Linked DNA regions of Canis lupus familiaris. The protein of the gene in region 4 purifies or fractionates together with the protein of the main gene of each other region. This does not show direct contact. Links are inferred from orthologs where the notes say so. Each region holds a gene or a part of one and is shown on either strand. Other genes may lie near its edges.

Region 1 (3,567 bases), on a different chromosome or scaffold from region 4:
GCCTGGACCACCAGCTGCCACTGGCTTCCACCCATCCTCGTCCCACACTTGGGGGCCCCCATCCCATGGAGAGAGACACTACATTTAGGCAGATACCACACAACTGTAGGGTGTTGTTATTTTTTTTAATCTTATTAATAAAAAGTATTTTCTAGTCTCAAAAATACTTCTAGTGAGATTGAACAGTGATTTCTGCAACATCTCAATCTTAATCCCTTTCTATGTTTACAATGGCTACTTACTGATTATTTCCTCTCAGGGACAGCAAATCTTTCTCAATCTTATTTTGGGCAAAATAAGCTGCCACTCCTCTCTCTTTCAAAGGCTAATATGAGAAATTTCCTTTGAGCAGGGAGATGCCCACCTCACTTTCCCTCCTCTGGAAGTCAGGAAAAACAAGCCAAGGAACAAAATGTTTCACAATTACAAGGAAATATGACCCAAATCTTCATTTTCATGTCATGCCCTAGAAACAGGATTGTACCATTTGTACAGTCAAACTTTAGAGTTCAGTATCACTTGAGTCTAAAAAGCTCTAGGATCAAATTGACTTCTGGGTTGTCTGGGAGGCTCAAATGCTTGAGCGGCTTGCCTTTGGCTCAAGTCGTGACCCTGGGGTGCTGGGGATCCAGCCCCACCTGGGGCTCCCGGCTCAGTCTCCCCATTCAGCCCAGGGTCTGCTTCTCCCTCTGCCCCTCCCCCTGCTGTGTTCTTGCTCATGCTCTCTCTTTAAATAAATTTTTTTTAAAAATCGATGTTCCATTTCATAAAAAACCCTTGACCAGAACAGAATCTGAGGGGGTACCTGATAATCTGACGGCATGACGGGCCCGCCGGAGTTGGCACCCGAGGGCCCCAGGCGGGGCTTCTTGCTGGGGGGCACCTGCCCGAGGCCCGAGTCCTGGCTGTGCTGCAGGCCGCCACCTGCAGCCCCGGCCCCTGCGCCAGCCCCGCCCGCGGTCCCGTTGGTCTGGGTGCTGTTCTGCTGTGGTGCCGGCGCCTGCGGGGGGGCTGCCGTCTGCTGGGGGGGCGCTGGGGGCTGCTGATGCTGGTTCTGCTGCTGCTGCTGGTTCTTGCAAGAAAAGGAAGAAAGGCAAACTTGGTATGGAACTAAATGAACAGGGCGGTGCTTGCTTTCCTTTATCCTTTTCTCTTTTTTTAACAGGACACTGATTCCTTAGTAGGCACACTGGGCTGCCCAAGGACCAAGCTGGAGAGCCCCTCTGGGGTGGGGATGCCAAAGTGACTCCAGCCGGATGCTGCGCATCCCCTAAGGTCAGAGTACTGAGTCCTGAACACGATTCATTCTCCGAAGTTCATCTAGATTGCACACTCATCCTCCACATCAGTCCCAGACATCCGGCCAGAGGGCATGCAGCACCCAGGAAGCTATTCTGCTCTCAGGAAACCAGCTGTGATGGTCTTCTCCATCAGGAGTTTGGAAAAGTAGAGGGATATGGGGAGGGCCTGATATACCCAGTTACCAGCAAAGAATAAGATGCTTTGAAAGCAGCCTGCATAAAGTGACACTGAACAAATGAAACCCAACAATTAAGAACCAGGGAATGAAACAGGCTAGAAATCATTTATCTGTAAACTTACTAGATTTCAAGTTTGCAAAGTACATCTGCAATCATGTAAATACATAATTAAAGGCAGTTAAATACGTAGTAATCATTCAATTATAGTTCCTTAAATTCTCTTTTTGCCTCCCTTATTCTCTGGAAGTGATGTGTACCGTGTAGCTTTATACCTTGTCACCTTTCTCTTCAGGTTCATCTTCATTAAGGAATTCTCGTTTGGGGTATGGAATCTGGCAGCCAGCAAACACACTACAACATCATTTAAAAAAAAAAAAAAAAAAAAGAATATACATCACGACCTAAAATCTACAGTATCATTGACCTTGTTAGCTTAAAATTCCACTTTTTTTCTTAAGCTATGTCCCACTCTTCAGCTCTAGCTAATATTTGCGGGATGCCTCCCAAGACAACTGAATTCAAGCAAATAAGAAAAGAATTTGTGGGGTGCCTGGGTGGCTTAGTTAGTTAAGTGTCTGACTCTTGATTTCGGCTCAGGTCAGGATCTCAGGGCTGTTAGATCGAGCACCGAGTCAGGCTCTGACCCGCGCTGGGCACACGTGTGCAGAGCCTGCTTGAGATTCTCTCTCTCCCTCTGCCCTTCACCCCCACCTCCTTCTCTCTCTGGAAAAAAAAATTGTCTAAGTTTTATAATAATTACCATCTTCAGTAACAAATCTTAACTGCTGTTAGCTAGTTGACATATATGATGGGGAAGTTTCTCCACAGAAAATTTATTAGCACACAAAACAAAATTGAATTTGTAATTGCCTCAACAATGAAAATACTCCCCCCCGCCCCCGCCCGCCCAAGAAAAGTTGCATCTCTAATAAACACAAGCACGTGGGTGTAACAAGGAGGGGGAAACACAGGGGTTTTGGTAGTAGAGTGGACACACAGACTTTTAAATTCTTAGTTCCCTACTGGTTTGGCTTAAACTTATCTGGCTGACCGACCTCTCAAAGTCCCACCTGTTCTCAGCTTCAGTTTTTTTCTGTAACCCTGAATAATGGTCCTTTCTAAAATACTTGTTTCCATTCACACCTCTCTATGGCTTTGCCTGTTTCAGAATACGGGCCCTTTCTCTTGAGTACTTTTTCTCCGAGGTAGTATTAATGGAGAACTTGTAATACTGCAGTAACAAGGGCTTCTCTTACTTGCAGCCACCATCCGACACCCCCGACCTGGAGCAAAGAACACAGAACACGTACAATACGTACTCTAATGTTGGCAAGGGGTCCTCCTGAAAATAGGGATCCTGCAAAGCCTGCTCCGAGGTAATTCTTTTGGTTGGATCCATAGTAAGGAGTTTCTGAAGCTAGAGTAACACATAAGAAATTGATAGCACATGGAAAAGACTGCTTATCAATGTTTTGACTTTTGTATTAAGGTCTAGCAGGATTAATATCAGATGCCATTTTGCAGAGCTCACCGTGCTATTAGGACACCACAATCATTTATGTGAAATTGGCAGAAATCATTAGCATGAAGGCCCTTTGAGAATATAATTTTTTTTTTCCTGCTGATAAATCTTTGGAAAAAATTAAGTCTAGAAATCAAGGGTGACATCTTAAAAGAAAAGTATTTAATTTTGCATCAGCCCCCAACAATTTCTTTTCTTTCTAAAGGGAAGGAATAGCTGGTACAATTCCATGTTGAATGGGATGGGGTGGGCCTGTGCTACAGACCCAACTTTCATCTGGAAGAGAAGCACCTACCAGGAGGAACACTTTGCTGTCAGGCTTGACCTTGTGTTTCTCCATGTACTTTATGAGGCTACTGTTGGCGTACCTGCAAGGACATGACAATCACACATCACTGGGAACACTCACGTTTTGTTTTGCTTCGCTTCATTTTTTCAAAAAATGTTCATTTACTTAAGTACAGTTTACACAGTTTGTATTTTTTAATGGAAAGCTCCCAGATTGGTTTTCCCATAAGGTACATGTTTAGGCCATTGTTTTTTCTAATAAAAGAACACATAACT
Region 2 (4,001 bases), on a different chromosome or scaffold from region 4:
GCACCCCCCCTCCGCCATCACCAACACCCTGTTCTCTGGCTCCTTCCTTAGGACCTCACACAAATCCTCATGCTTTTTGAATCTCGGTGGGTTTCCAGGACCTTGTGGTCCGGAAGTACAGAGCCCAGGGTCCACTGCACCCTAATGAGAGTGAAGGGGAAAGTAGTGTGCACTACTTATGGGGCTGCCACAGGTAGAAGCCTGGGTTTGAACTGCATACATAGCCCCCCAGTGGTGTCACCGCCCACCCTCTCTTCCAGGAGGGTCCTGGATGGGGTGGCTGCTGCAGCCTGTAGGGGTGACAGTGAAGCAGGGCCTGGCACTGTCCCCACGGCTCATGTACCCCCACACCTCTAGGTTCTGTCAGGCGGGAGTGAGGCCCCTTTGGGGTAAAAACTATACCCCTTCTCTCCACCCCCAGCCAGCCAAGTGGCATCCTAGCTTTGCCCGGATGGCCCAGAAGGGTCGCGGCTACGCCCCTGTGCATCATCCCCTCATGCCTTCTGTTCCTCACCAGTTAAAGCCCCCCCCGTGGAGTCCAGGCTGGTGTGGGCCTCTGGCCAATGGCACCTCCTCACCCCAGGGCCCAAGCTTAAGCAAGGAATAGCCCTTCCCAGGAAATGGAGGCTCCTGGTTTCCCGGGCAGGTCCCCGGCGGCTCCTCAGATGCTGCGGCTACTGGAGCCGACGGGAGACCCAGCTCCTTGCCTCAAACAGCGCAGGTGGGGTCCGTCCACACAACTGCGGTCGGCAAAATAGCAACCAGCAGTGCCAACGCACTCCTCTCGGCCGCCAACCGCCTCCGCCGCCGGGCCGTCTGCCTGGCAAGCAGCTCATCGGCCCCAAGCCCGCTCCGCAAAGGGGCGACCACGCGGGGGAAGGTGGGGGTCGCGGCCGGCGGCCTTCTGGTCCTAGGACCTGACGCCTCCTGCCGGCCCGCACTGCGCCCTGGCTCCATTCTCCACTCGAGGGCCTCGCGCTGGGCCCTCCAAGCGCATTTGCAAAGAAGGATCTTGAGGGGGGGGGCGGCCCCCGGGGCCGCCAACGCCCCCGCCAACGCCTCACGCATGCGCAGAGCCACCAGCGCCTCGGTCCTCCCGGGCTCCTCTCGCCTGCGCTACATCCCCCGGGCCTCCAGGGGGCGAGCGGCCGGCCTCCCCACGGGGGCCGTAACCCGGAAGCAGCCGCTAACCCGGAAGAGGTGGCGTCGTAGAGGGTCCTGCAGGCGTCGGGGGCGGCCCTGCGGCTTCGGCTGCGAGTGCGGCGCTAGGATGAACGCCCCTCCCGCCTTTGAGTCGTTCTTGCTCTTCGAGGGCGAAAAGAAGTAAGTGGAGCTGGCGGGGGCGAGCCTGGGGTCCGTCCAGTAGCGGGAGACGGAAGCCTCTGTGTCCGCCAGATTCGAGCCAGCCCTGCCGGGCGGTGGCGACCGACCCCCTTCCGCAGATGCGGAAACTGAAGCTCAGAGAGCCAAGGAGCTGCCCCGGCCCTCGGGGAGTGGCGGTGTGCGTGGCGCCAGAGTGCTTCCCCCCGGGATCCGGCAGCCCCCTCGCTCGCGTGCCTGGCCGCCGCCTCCTGCGGCTGCAGCGGGGTCCGGCTCTCAGGCTCTCGTCCCGCCTTCGCTGGCCTCCGGAGAACCTCCAGCGGCTTCTTGCCCGCGGGGTGCAGGCGGTGTAGTCTTGCTGTCTCTCAGCCTGGGCTTGGCTCCTGGCTCCCCCACTTAACGTCTCCGTGTCTTTGGGCAGGTGGCTTAGCCTGCCTGAGGCCTGCTTTCCTCATCTGGAAAATGGGCTTCTTGCTCTGTTAAATCACAGGATTTTCTCAAAGGGGAGCTTGAGATGATTTACGGGAAGTGCTTAGGCCAAGGCTCAGCACACAAAAGACTGTCTTAAACGTCGGCTTTTCCTTCTCTTAACAGCCTGGTGTGCGGGGCTCTATGTCTAGCCCTTGCCAGCCACTTCGTCTCCCTTGGGAGCAGTGGTTGGCAACTAGGGGCTATTTTGCTCCCCAGGGGACTTTTGGCAACGTCTGCAGACACTTTCGTCACATAGGGGCTGCTGCTGGCAGCTAGTGAATAGAGACCAGGGATACTGCTCATATCCTGCAATGTACAAGACCACCCCCTGCGGGAAAGAATGATCCACCCTAAGATGTCACTGGTGCCAAGGAGCAATCCAGAGTAGGTGAGGGTCCCGCAGAATCGGGGCATAGCCACTCTGCTGCTCTGAGTCAGAGGTCTTTATGGATGAAGAGATGGAGGAAGGCTTCGAGGTGGAAGTGGGGCTTAAGCCTGAGTTAAAGGGCAGGATTTATCCTGGGGGGAGGAGGAGAGCCCCGTTTCCCATCTGTTGCTACCACCTCTTCCTAGGATTACCATTAACAAGGACACCAAGGTACCCAATGCCTGTTTGTTTACCATCAACAAAGAAGACCACACACTAGGAAACATCATCAAATCGTAAGTTCCGAGTCAGAGGCTCTCAGGCAACGTTTAATGGGGCTCTTTGAGGCAAAGCACACGTCCCAGATTTCCCGAAGTCTCTCTGAGCTGCCGGAAGGTCTGGGTGCTTGTTCTGGCAATTCACACGTTTCAGTACGTTTTCCCCAAAATGCTGCTGCCCTGGATCTGTTCCCACAGCTGTATTTCTGTACTGGTTCATTTATCCGATGAAAGGAAGTGAACGTGTGGCAAAGCCAGAGAAACCTAGGCCGACTTGCCAGAGATTGGAACTTATTAGAATGAGGGGAGAAGGTGGGGGAGAGGCTCTGTGATTATCCGATGCTCATGTTGGTTAGCAGGTGTGTAAGTACATTAGCGAGGTCCTGGCCAGGTAAGTGGTCAGTGATGTGGTTGCTGTTTGGGCTCAAGGGCTTTTGTCAGAAAAGCACCATGGGTGAATCTAGGTCTTTCCGAGGGTCATGTGTTTGAGACCACTGGGCAGGAGCCCACCTCACCTCTGGGCTGAAAGTAGGAGGTGGGGCTGGCTCTCTCCAGTCTGGCTGGCCCCACCCTGAGCCATGCCGGTGCTGCTCCCAGGCCCTTCTGCTCCCCTACTCTGGGAGGCATGTCCCCACCTGTGCAAGAGCCTTCCCTCTTGGTGCCTGCTGCTGACTGAGCTGCTCCAGAGAATCCCCCGCGGGCCCAGGGCAGAGCATGGCATGCACACTTCACCTCACAGCCAGGCACAACGGGTCCCAGGTGTGTGGGCAGCAGCGTTGACCAAAGGGCTTCCGTTTCACTAAGCACTCAGAGCCTGAGCCTTTCCTGCTGTGCCAGACGCTCTTACTGGGCCAGAACCAGCACATTGTGTTCTGGTTACTGAGCACTGGCTGCCTGGGGAGGGCTCTTTGGTGCTGTTGCAGGCCCCCGACTTCCCCTGAGGGAAGTTTGCTGGAAATCCTCTTTACCAGCTGGGGTCCTGGATCCTCATGGATGTAGGGGTGGGGGGAGGAGGGAGGTGTCCTCATGAGGCAGATGTTCCAGATGTTTTACTTGGAGATATCTTTGGGAAATCAAGAGCAGGAAAGCAGCTGGAGTCAGCCATCTCCTCCCTGCCCCACCCCCCTCGCTTCTAGGCCTCAAGCCAGTGGGAAGGCTCCTTGGTTAGAGGCCTGGTGGTCCCAGGTGCTAGGCCCAGCCCCCATGTCACACTGCCCATTTCCTGATCTCAGACAGCTGCTGAAGGACCCCCAGGTGCTGTTTGCTGGCTACAAAGTCCCCCACCCCCTGGAGCACAAGATCATCATTCGAGTGCAGACCACACCAGACTACAGCCCCCAGGAGGCCTTCACCAACGCCATCACAGACCTCATCAGCGAGCTGTCCCTGCTGGAAGAGCGATTCCGGGTGAGGAGCCGGGCGGCGAGGGGTGTTTGCATGCTAGCCAGTATGGCCAGAGCTGTTCTGATGCCCACACCGACAACCCCTGGGTAGTTTCCGGATTTATTGTGGGGTGGGGGCACGTGGTGACTGAGCAGCAGTGCCACTACAGCCTTGAACGAGCT
Region 3 (3,196 bases), on a different chromosome or scaffold from region 4:
AGGTGGTATATGATTTTCCAAGTTGTCTTTCTGCAAAGAAACTGACAATACCACTTGATGGGATCCACAGGCAGGCAACAGAGCAGTCTTGGTTGTCAGATCTTAGACTGTATCCTGGGTCTACCCCCAGCTCAACAGGTAAATATGTGAAAGTTCTTCTCTGAGCATCTCTGATATGACAATAACCCTTACTCACAGAGTTCCCATAATGATCAAAGGAAATAATGTAAGTTTCATGCTTAGTAAAAAAGCTGGCATAGTAAACACCCAACAAACTCTTATTATTAGTTATCACCAGCACCACCACCACCACTTAGTAAATGCTTACTGCATACTATGAACACTACTAATAATTTTGATGATAATGATAATAAAAATGATAAAAAGTGGTAACATCTGTTAAGCACTATGGCATGCTAGCCACTGTGCCTTAGCGTACGTCCTCTCATTTAATCCTTGCTACCACCTCACACTTGCCATCATCACTTCTACAAATGAGAAAACTGAGAACATCTGAATTACTTTACTCAAGGTTACCCAAAGTCAGTGGCTAGGCTGGGATCTGAAAGTCTGTGTTTTTTTTTAAAGATGCTATTCATTTACTTGAGAGAGAGCAAGCAAGAGAGAACATGAGCAGAGGGGAGAGGGAGAGGGAGAAGCAGGATCCTTGTTGAGCACAGAACCTGATACGGGCTCAATCCCAGGACCCTGGAATCATGACCTGAGCCAAAGGCAGAAGCTTAACAGACCAAGCCACCCAGATGCCCCTGAAAGCCTTAGATGTAGCTTTCTTAATCATTCTTAATCATTCTTGATATACCTGTTGTTTCAAAACAATGCACAATACTGATTGAGCTCCTACTATAAGTCAGGTGCTAGGACTTATCATGTCTATTCCTATAACAACTACAAGCAAGGCTTGGCTAGTCTCATTTTACAGGTGAAAAGGCCAGGAAATTTTATTTGTCCAAGGTCACACAGTTCATAAATGGCATAATTTATAAGTCTGATCATTCCAGGTCTGTTTAGTTCAAAAGTCGGCCCCCTGTCCGGTACCACAGTCAGTACTCTGCTGTGCCAATAACAACTCACATCACTATATTTTCCCCGGGGACATGAAGGTCAGCATTTTCTTAGGTCACAAACCCATCTACAAATACTGATATGGCCAGTCAATACACAATGAACTGGAAATACCTGATAGTCTGAGGTCATGATGAGTCCACCTGAGGTAGTGGTAGGAGGAACAACTCTCACTTTTTTCAATGGGGGTCCCTGTGTATGACTGCTGTCTTGATTCCCTGGGTGACCGGTTCCATTAGTATGGTTATTGCCCTGCTGCTGCTGCTGGTTCTTCTCAATTGGTTAAACAGAAAAATAAAGTTCAACTCAGAAGGAGAACCAAATACAAACAAGAAAATGTTACACGGTAGATGGAATAAAACAAGCAGCAGCCAAATGTACTTTAATACTTACTTTGTCTCCTTTGTCATCGGGTTCTTCTTCTGTTAAAAATTCTCGTTTTGGGTAAGGGATTTGACAACCGGCAAAAACGCTGCTCACAACAAAAAAAGAAAATTTCTAGTATGCTAATCAGTATCTCAGATGCTTCATTTTAATCTTTTAAGATGGACTTTGTGTCCTTATTTGTAAAATAAGCACCCTTCATGCAACTGTGCCAAAATGAATCTTTTCTTCTAACTAGGGACATTGTAGCAGACCATGGGAAGGATTTTCATTGTGTGAAAATAATCAATAATCATCGAATATGACTCAACTTTCTTTTATCCCAGACTCACTCTTTTATTGTTACAATCCAAATATAGATTCCAGTGGAAATGTCACTATTTGAACACAATTTTTTTTTTTACTCTCCCTTCTACACATAAGAGATGACATGGGGAACACAAATTTATTTGGGAATGGGATTTTGTAATTAAAACACAAAACTGTAACTGTAAGCAGTGGGCCATCTCAGTGAGTCTGAGTGAGCTACAGCATGCATAATTAACCTGTCACTGAATAATTGGGGCACGGCTGAAAATAAAGCTGGTAATGTTTCATAAAGTAAGACATGAACAGGAATGCCTTTTCACTGTAAAAGCCCTAAATGACACCTCAGTCATCAGAGCTCATGTCACTGGGATTTCCCTAGGTCCCCATGTAATGCGAGTGGCAACTTGGAGTTGACAACTCAAACAAGCCCACTCCAGAAAATTCTATCATGCTGGTGAGTTAATAAACTGATCACTTACTCTGATGTAGGAAGTGGATCTTCTAAGAAATAGGGATCCTGCATAGCCTGTTCTGAGGTAATTCGCTTTATTGGGTCCATAGTAAGTAACTTCTGAAGCTGAAATCATAAATCATAAAAACATTGTGTTATTTCTTATAGTTATATCCTTGGCCATATGTGGGATGTACATGTTTTTTGATGAAACACTACAATTTGAGCGGTATTTATTCCCCCAAATTAACAAGAGAAAAACTGGATTATTACATTTAACATAGTAATTCACATTTAGTAATTCTAATAATCATGATCTTACTTGGTTCTAAGAAGTAAACAAAACCTTTACCTTATTCTAAACCAATGATCTACATTATGCAAATTGTTTTGTCCAATTTAGAACAAGACTAAACTCTTATATTTTCTATTCTTTTTCTATAAAGGGAAAAAAACTATTATAACACAAATAATAGAGTAGTCACATGTGACTATTTAGATTTAAAACCAAATTAAACTTAAAAAAATCAATTTCTCAATCATATCAGGTACATTTCTAGAGCTCAAGAGCCACATGTGGCTAGGAGTTATCCTATTGCACAGCACAGATCATCAGAGAAAGCTCTCCTGGCCAGTGTTATCCCTGTCTAAATAAATATGGTGCTTGATACAGAACTTGTGAAGTACAGAGGGGTTATGAATGGAGACTTGAAGACCTTTATTATCTGAGTGACTTTGGACAAGTTGCTTAATCTCTTTGCAACCTCATTTGTCAAATGGAGATTAAAAATAGTGCCAGCTACCATAGGTTTGTTTTCAGAATTAAATGAGTTAATATATGGAAAGCAATTCTAAAGGTACCTGACACAAAGAAAGCACTATGTATTATTATTATTTTGCTACCTATAAAAATGTCACACTAATGTGAAAATTCAGTATTTTTTTGGTTAAAACAGTTTATTTAAGACT
Region 4 (3,567 bases):
TTTAGGGATTAAATGGCCTTCATTTTAGAAAGTGGAAGTTTAGTTACTTATTTGTTTGGAATATTTATAACAAGCTGACATATTTTTTGGAATCGGATTCATTCTATCACCTGTGAATGATATAGTAGTTTTGCATGTAAAAAATGTATAGGATTTAGTTTCTAAGGAGACTGAAAATGATGTTCTGTATACTTAGGGATTATTATTTATTAGGATTTAGTCTTATATTTGATTATTTTATGATCTTTTTCTTTGCCTTTTAGATTCTCCTGGGCTCCTCCAATTTGAAGTGTGTCCTCTCTCAGAGTCCCGTTTTAGCGTATCTTTTCAGCACCCTGTGAATGACTCCCTGGTGTGTGGTGAGTTTTGAGGGGGCTAGCTCTTTTCTTAGGGCAGTAGTTTGGGCTCTTTATCTTCTTTTTGGAAAGTCAGAAGCTGAATTTCTCTCAACTCCTATATGTTTTGTCTTTCAGTGGTAATGGATGTGCAGGACTCAACACATGTGAGCTGTAAACTGTACAAGGGGCTGTCAGATGCACTCATCTGCACAGATGACTTCATTGCCAAAGTTGTTCAAAGGTAGCACTGGCTCTTTTCCATCAGACTCCCATTTAGAGGGGTATAAGAAACACTGTTTTCAGTATTAAAGTGAATGGAAATTTAGGAGGGAAGCATTTATTTATTTTTTATTTTTTTAAAGATTTTATTTATTTATTCATAGACACAGAGAGAGAGGCAGAGACATAGGCAGAGGGAGAAGCAGGCTTCACGCTGGGAACCTGATGTGGGACTCGATCCCGGGTCTCCAGGATCACACCCCAGGCTGCAGGTGGCGCCAAACCGCTGCGCCACTGGGGCTGCCCAGGAGGGAAGCATGTAGTCACTGTTTTGAATTCACCTTTCTCTGCTTTGGGATTCAAAAGCAATGTGAGCTTTAGTTTTTTATTTTTTTTAAGGTTTTTATTTATTTATTAATGAGAGACAGAGGCAGAGACACAGGCGGAGGGAGAAGCAGGCTCCATGCAGGGAGCCTGTTGTGGGACTCGATCCTGGGTCTCTAGGATCAGGCTCTGGGCTGAAAGCGGCGCTAAACCACTGAGCCACCTGGCCTGCCCCAAGCTTTAGTTTTTTAAATACCATCATGGGAGTAATAGGAAGTAAGGTAGAGTAACTTTAGGTTGGTATAGGATTCTTTTAGGAAGGAAATACCTGAAATAAGATGTAGATTTTTTTTTTTAAGATTTTATTTATTTATTTGAGATAGAGAGTGAGATAGACAGGCAGAAAGAGAAGGAGCCAGGGGGACAGCCAGAAGGAGGGGGGAGAAGCAGACTACCCGCTGAGCAGGGAGCCTGACATGGGTATTGATCCCGGGAGTCTGGGATCATGACCTGAGCTAAAGACTGATGTTTAGCCAACTGAGCCCCTAGATTTTTTTTTTACTTATCTACTGCATCACTTTTTAACATATGTAATATATCAAATGGTGGCATGTAGGAAGATACTTTAAGCTAGTCAGCTTCCCAGAAACATTAATATGTAATTTTGAGATTTTTCTAGAGCTGATGCTTGTGGCCTGTTTTGTAAATAAATTTTATTGGAACACAGCTATGTTTGTTCATTTATATGTTGTCTCTTTTTTTTTTTTTTTTTTAAGATTTATTTTTTAGAGAGAATTTGAGGGGTGGGTGGGGGTTAGAAGGAGAGAGAATCCTAAGCAGACTCTACTGAGTGGGAAGTCTGATGTGGGGTTTGATCTCAGTACACTGAGATCATGACCTGAGGTAAAATCAAGAATTGGGACACTTAACCGACTGAGCCACTCAGGCACCCCTATATATTGTCTGTGGTGCCTTTCGAGCTAAGATGGCAGAATAGTTGGACAAAAACCATGTGATCTTCAAAATCCTAAAATACTACTATTTTGGTCTCTTTAAGAAAAGTTGCTAAAATGTTCTAGAGCAAAGTGTTTTCGAAAATACTTTTTTTTTTTTAATTTATTTATGATAGTCATACAGAGAGAGAGGGAGAGAGAGGCAGAGACATAGGCAGAGGGAGAAGCAGGCTCCATGCACCGGGAGCCTGACGTGGGATTCGATCCCGGGTCTCCAGGATCGCACCCTGGGCCAAAGGCAGGCGCCAAACCGCTGCGCCACCCAGGGATCCCGAAAATACGTTTTTAAACTTATCTATAAGATAAAAAGTGCTTTGCTTTAAAATAATAAAGATTGTAGGGGATTCTTGGGTGGCTCAGTGGTTTAGCGCTTGCCTTTGGCCCAGGTGTGATCCTGGAGTCCCGGGATCGAGTTCTGCGTCGGGCTCCTGGCATGGAGCCTGCTTCTCCCTCTTCCTGTGTCTCTGCCTCTCTCTCTATATATATATCATATGTAAATAAGTAAATAAATCATTTAAAAAAATAATAAAGATTTTAGAGCAATAATAGCATCTTTCACAATATAGCTTTGGGATGCTTTAAGCCATTAAGGTTTATTTTTGTTTTATTTTATTTTATTTTATTTTATTTTATTTTATTTTATTTTATTTTATTTTATTTTATTTTATTTTATTTTATTTTATGATTTATTTTTTAAAGAGTTTATTTATTCATGAGACACACAGAAAGAGAGGCAGAGACACAGACAGAGGAGATGCAGGCTCCATGCAGGGAGCCCAATGTGGGACTCGATCCCGGGACTCCAGGATCATGCCCTGGGCCAAAGGCAGGCGCTAAACCGCTGAGCCACCCAGGTGTCCCACCATTAAGGTTTAGTTTTTTTTTATTATTATTATTATTTTTTGCCATTAAGGTTTAGAACTTGATGTTTCAAGAGCTTTTTCTAGTGTTTCATTAATTAAGGTAAATATTATATCCCATTAATCACATGTGAAGTCCTAAAAGGAGGGCTTTTTTTTAAAGATTTTATTTATTTGAGAGAGTGACAGAGCAAGCATGAACAAGGTGGTGGGGGATGGGCAGAGGGAGAGGGAGAAGCAGACTCCCCTTTGAGCAGGGAGCTGATGTGGGGCTCGATCCCAGGACCCTGGGATCATGACCTGCGCTGAAGGCAGATGCTTAACCACCTGAGCTACCCAGGCGCCCCAGGAGGGCATTTTCTTACTGAGTTCATTATTACCAGTTTTCTTTTGGTTTAGTATGACATGTAATTTGGACTTTGTGGTTGGTTTGTTTTGGGTAGTGCTTTAAAAGAGGTTAAGATTGCCTACTGGTACAGATTCCTTTTAGAATGAATTTGCCCAATGCTCCAGCATTTTATAGAACTATTTCTGTCTTACCGGTTACTTGCCTTACCTGAAAATTCCTTACTGTAAACCTCTGAGTACATATCTGAATTTCAGGCAAAATTAAAGCCTGTTTTCCCAAATAAAAATTGTTTTCTTTCAGCAGCTAATACATTGCTGATTTTGTTTTTTCTATCTTATCTTACAGATGTATGTCCATCCCTGTGACGATGAGGGCTATTCGGAGGAAAGCTGAAACCATTCAGGCCGACACCCCAGCACTGTCCCTCATTGCAGAGACAGTTGAAGACATGGTGAAAAAGAACC

Evidence for each region.
Region 1: the proteins of MED1 (region 4) and CDK19 purify together in Homo sapiens (affinity purification with mass spectrometry; 7 studies listed by BioGRID and IntAct, counting the BioPlex papers as one, with this or other methods). This does not show direct contact. The link is inferred for Canis lupus familiaris from reciprocal best matches to the Homo sapiens genes MED1 and CDK19.
Region 2: the proteins of MED1 (region 4) and POLR2J purify together in Homo sapiens (affinity purification with mass spectrometry; 3 studies listed by BioGRID and IntAct, with this or other methods). This does not show direct contact. The link is inferred for Canis lupus familiaris from reciprocal best matches to the Homo sapiens genes MED1 and POLR2J.
Region 3: the proteins of MED1 (region 4) and CDK8 purify together in Homo sapiens (affinity purification with mass spectrometry; 14 studies listed by BioGRID and IntAct, counting the BioPlex papers as one, with this or other methods). This does not show direct contact. The link is inferred for Canis lupus familiaris from reciprocal best matches to the Homo sapiens genes MED1 and CDK8.

Annotation. Positions count from the first base shown.
Region 1 is NC_049233.1:67,588,347-67,591,913, forward strand, and holds part of CDK19 (cyclin-dependent kinase 19), read right to left. Parts: intron 3,372-3,567; coding exon 3,299-3,371; intron 3,057-3,298; exon of another isoform or gene 2,899-3,056; coding exon 2,801-2,898; exon of another isoform or gene 2,744-2,800; intron 2,342-2,743; exon of another isoform or gene 1,833-2,341; coding exon 1,754-1,832; exon of another isoform or gene 1,166-1,753; intron 1,073-1,165; coding exon 806-1,072; intron 1-805.
Region 2 is NC_049227.1:7,621,722-7,625,722, forward strand, and holds the start of POLR2J (DNA-directed RNA polymerase II subunit RPB11-a), read left to right. Parts: upstream 1-1,165; 5' UTR 1,166-1,270; coding exon 1,271-1,323; intron 1,324-2,364; coding exon 2,365-2,454; intron 2,455-3,668; coding exon 3,669-3,843; intron 3,844-4,001. UniProt on the Homo sapiens protein: Core component of RNA polymerase II (Pol II), a DNA-dependent RNA polymerase which synthesizes mRNA precursors and many functional non-coding RNAs using the four ribonucleoside triphosphates as substrates.
Region 3 is NC_049246.1:13,124,116-13,127,311, forward strand, and holds part of CDK8 (cyclin-dependent kinase 8), read right to left. Parts: intron 2,354-3,196; coding exon 2,256-2,353; intron 1,556-2,255; coding exon 1,477-1,555; intron 1,357-1,476; coding exon 1,198-1,356; intron 1-1,197.
Region 4 is NC_049230.1:22,961,933-22,965,499, forward strand, and holds part of MED1 (mediator of RNA polymerase II transcription subunit 1), read left to right. Parts: intron 1-263; coding exon 264-359; intron 360-473; coding exon 474-579; intron 580-3,448; coding exon 3,449-3,567. UniProt on the Homo sapiens protein: Component of the Mediator complex, a coactivator involved in the regulated transcription of nearly all RNA polymerase II-dependent genes.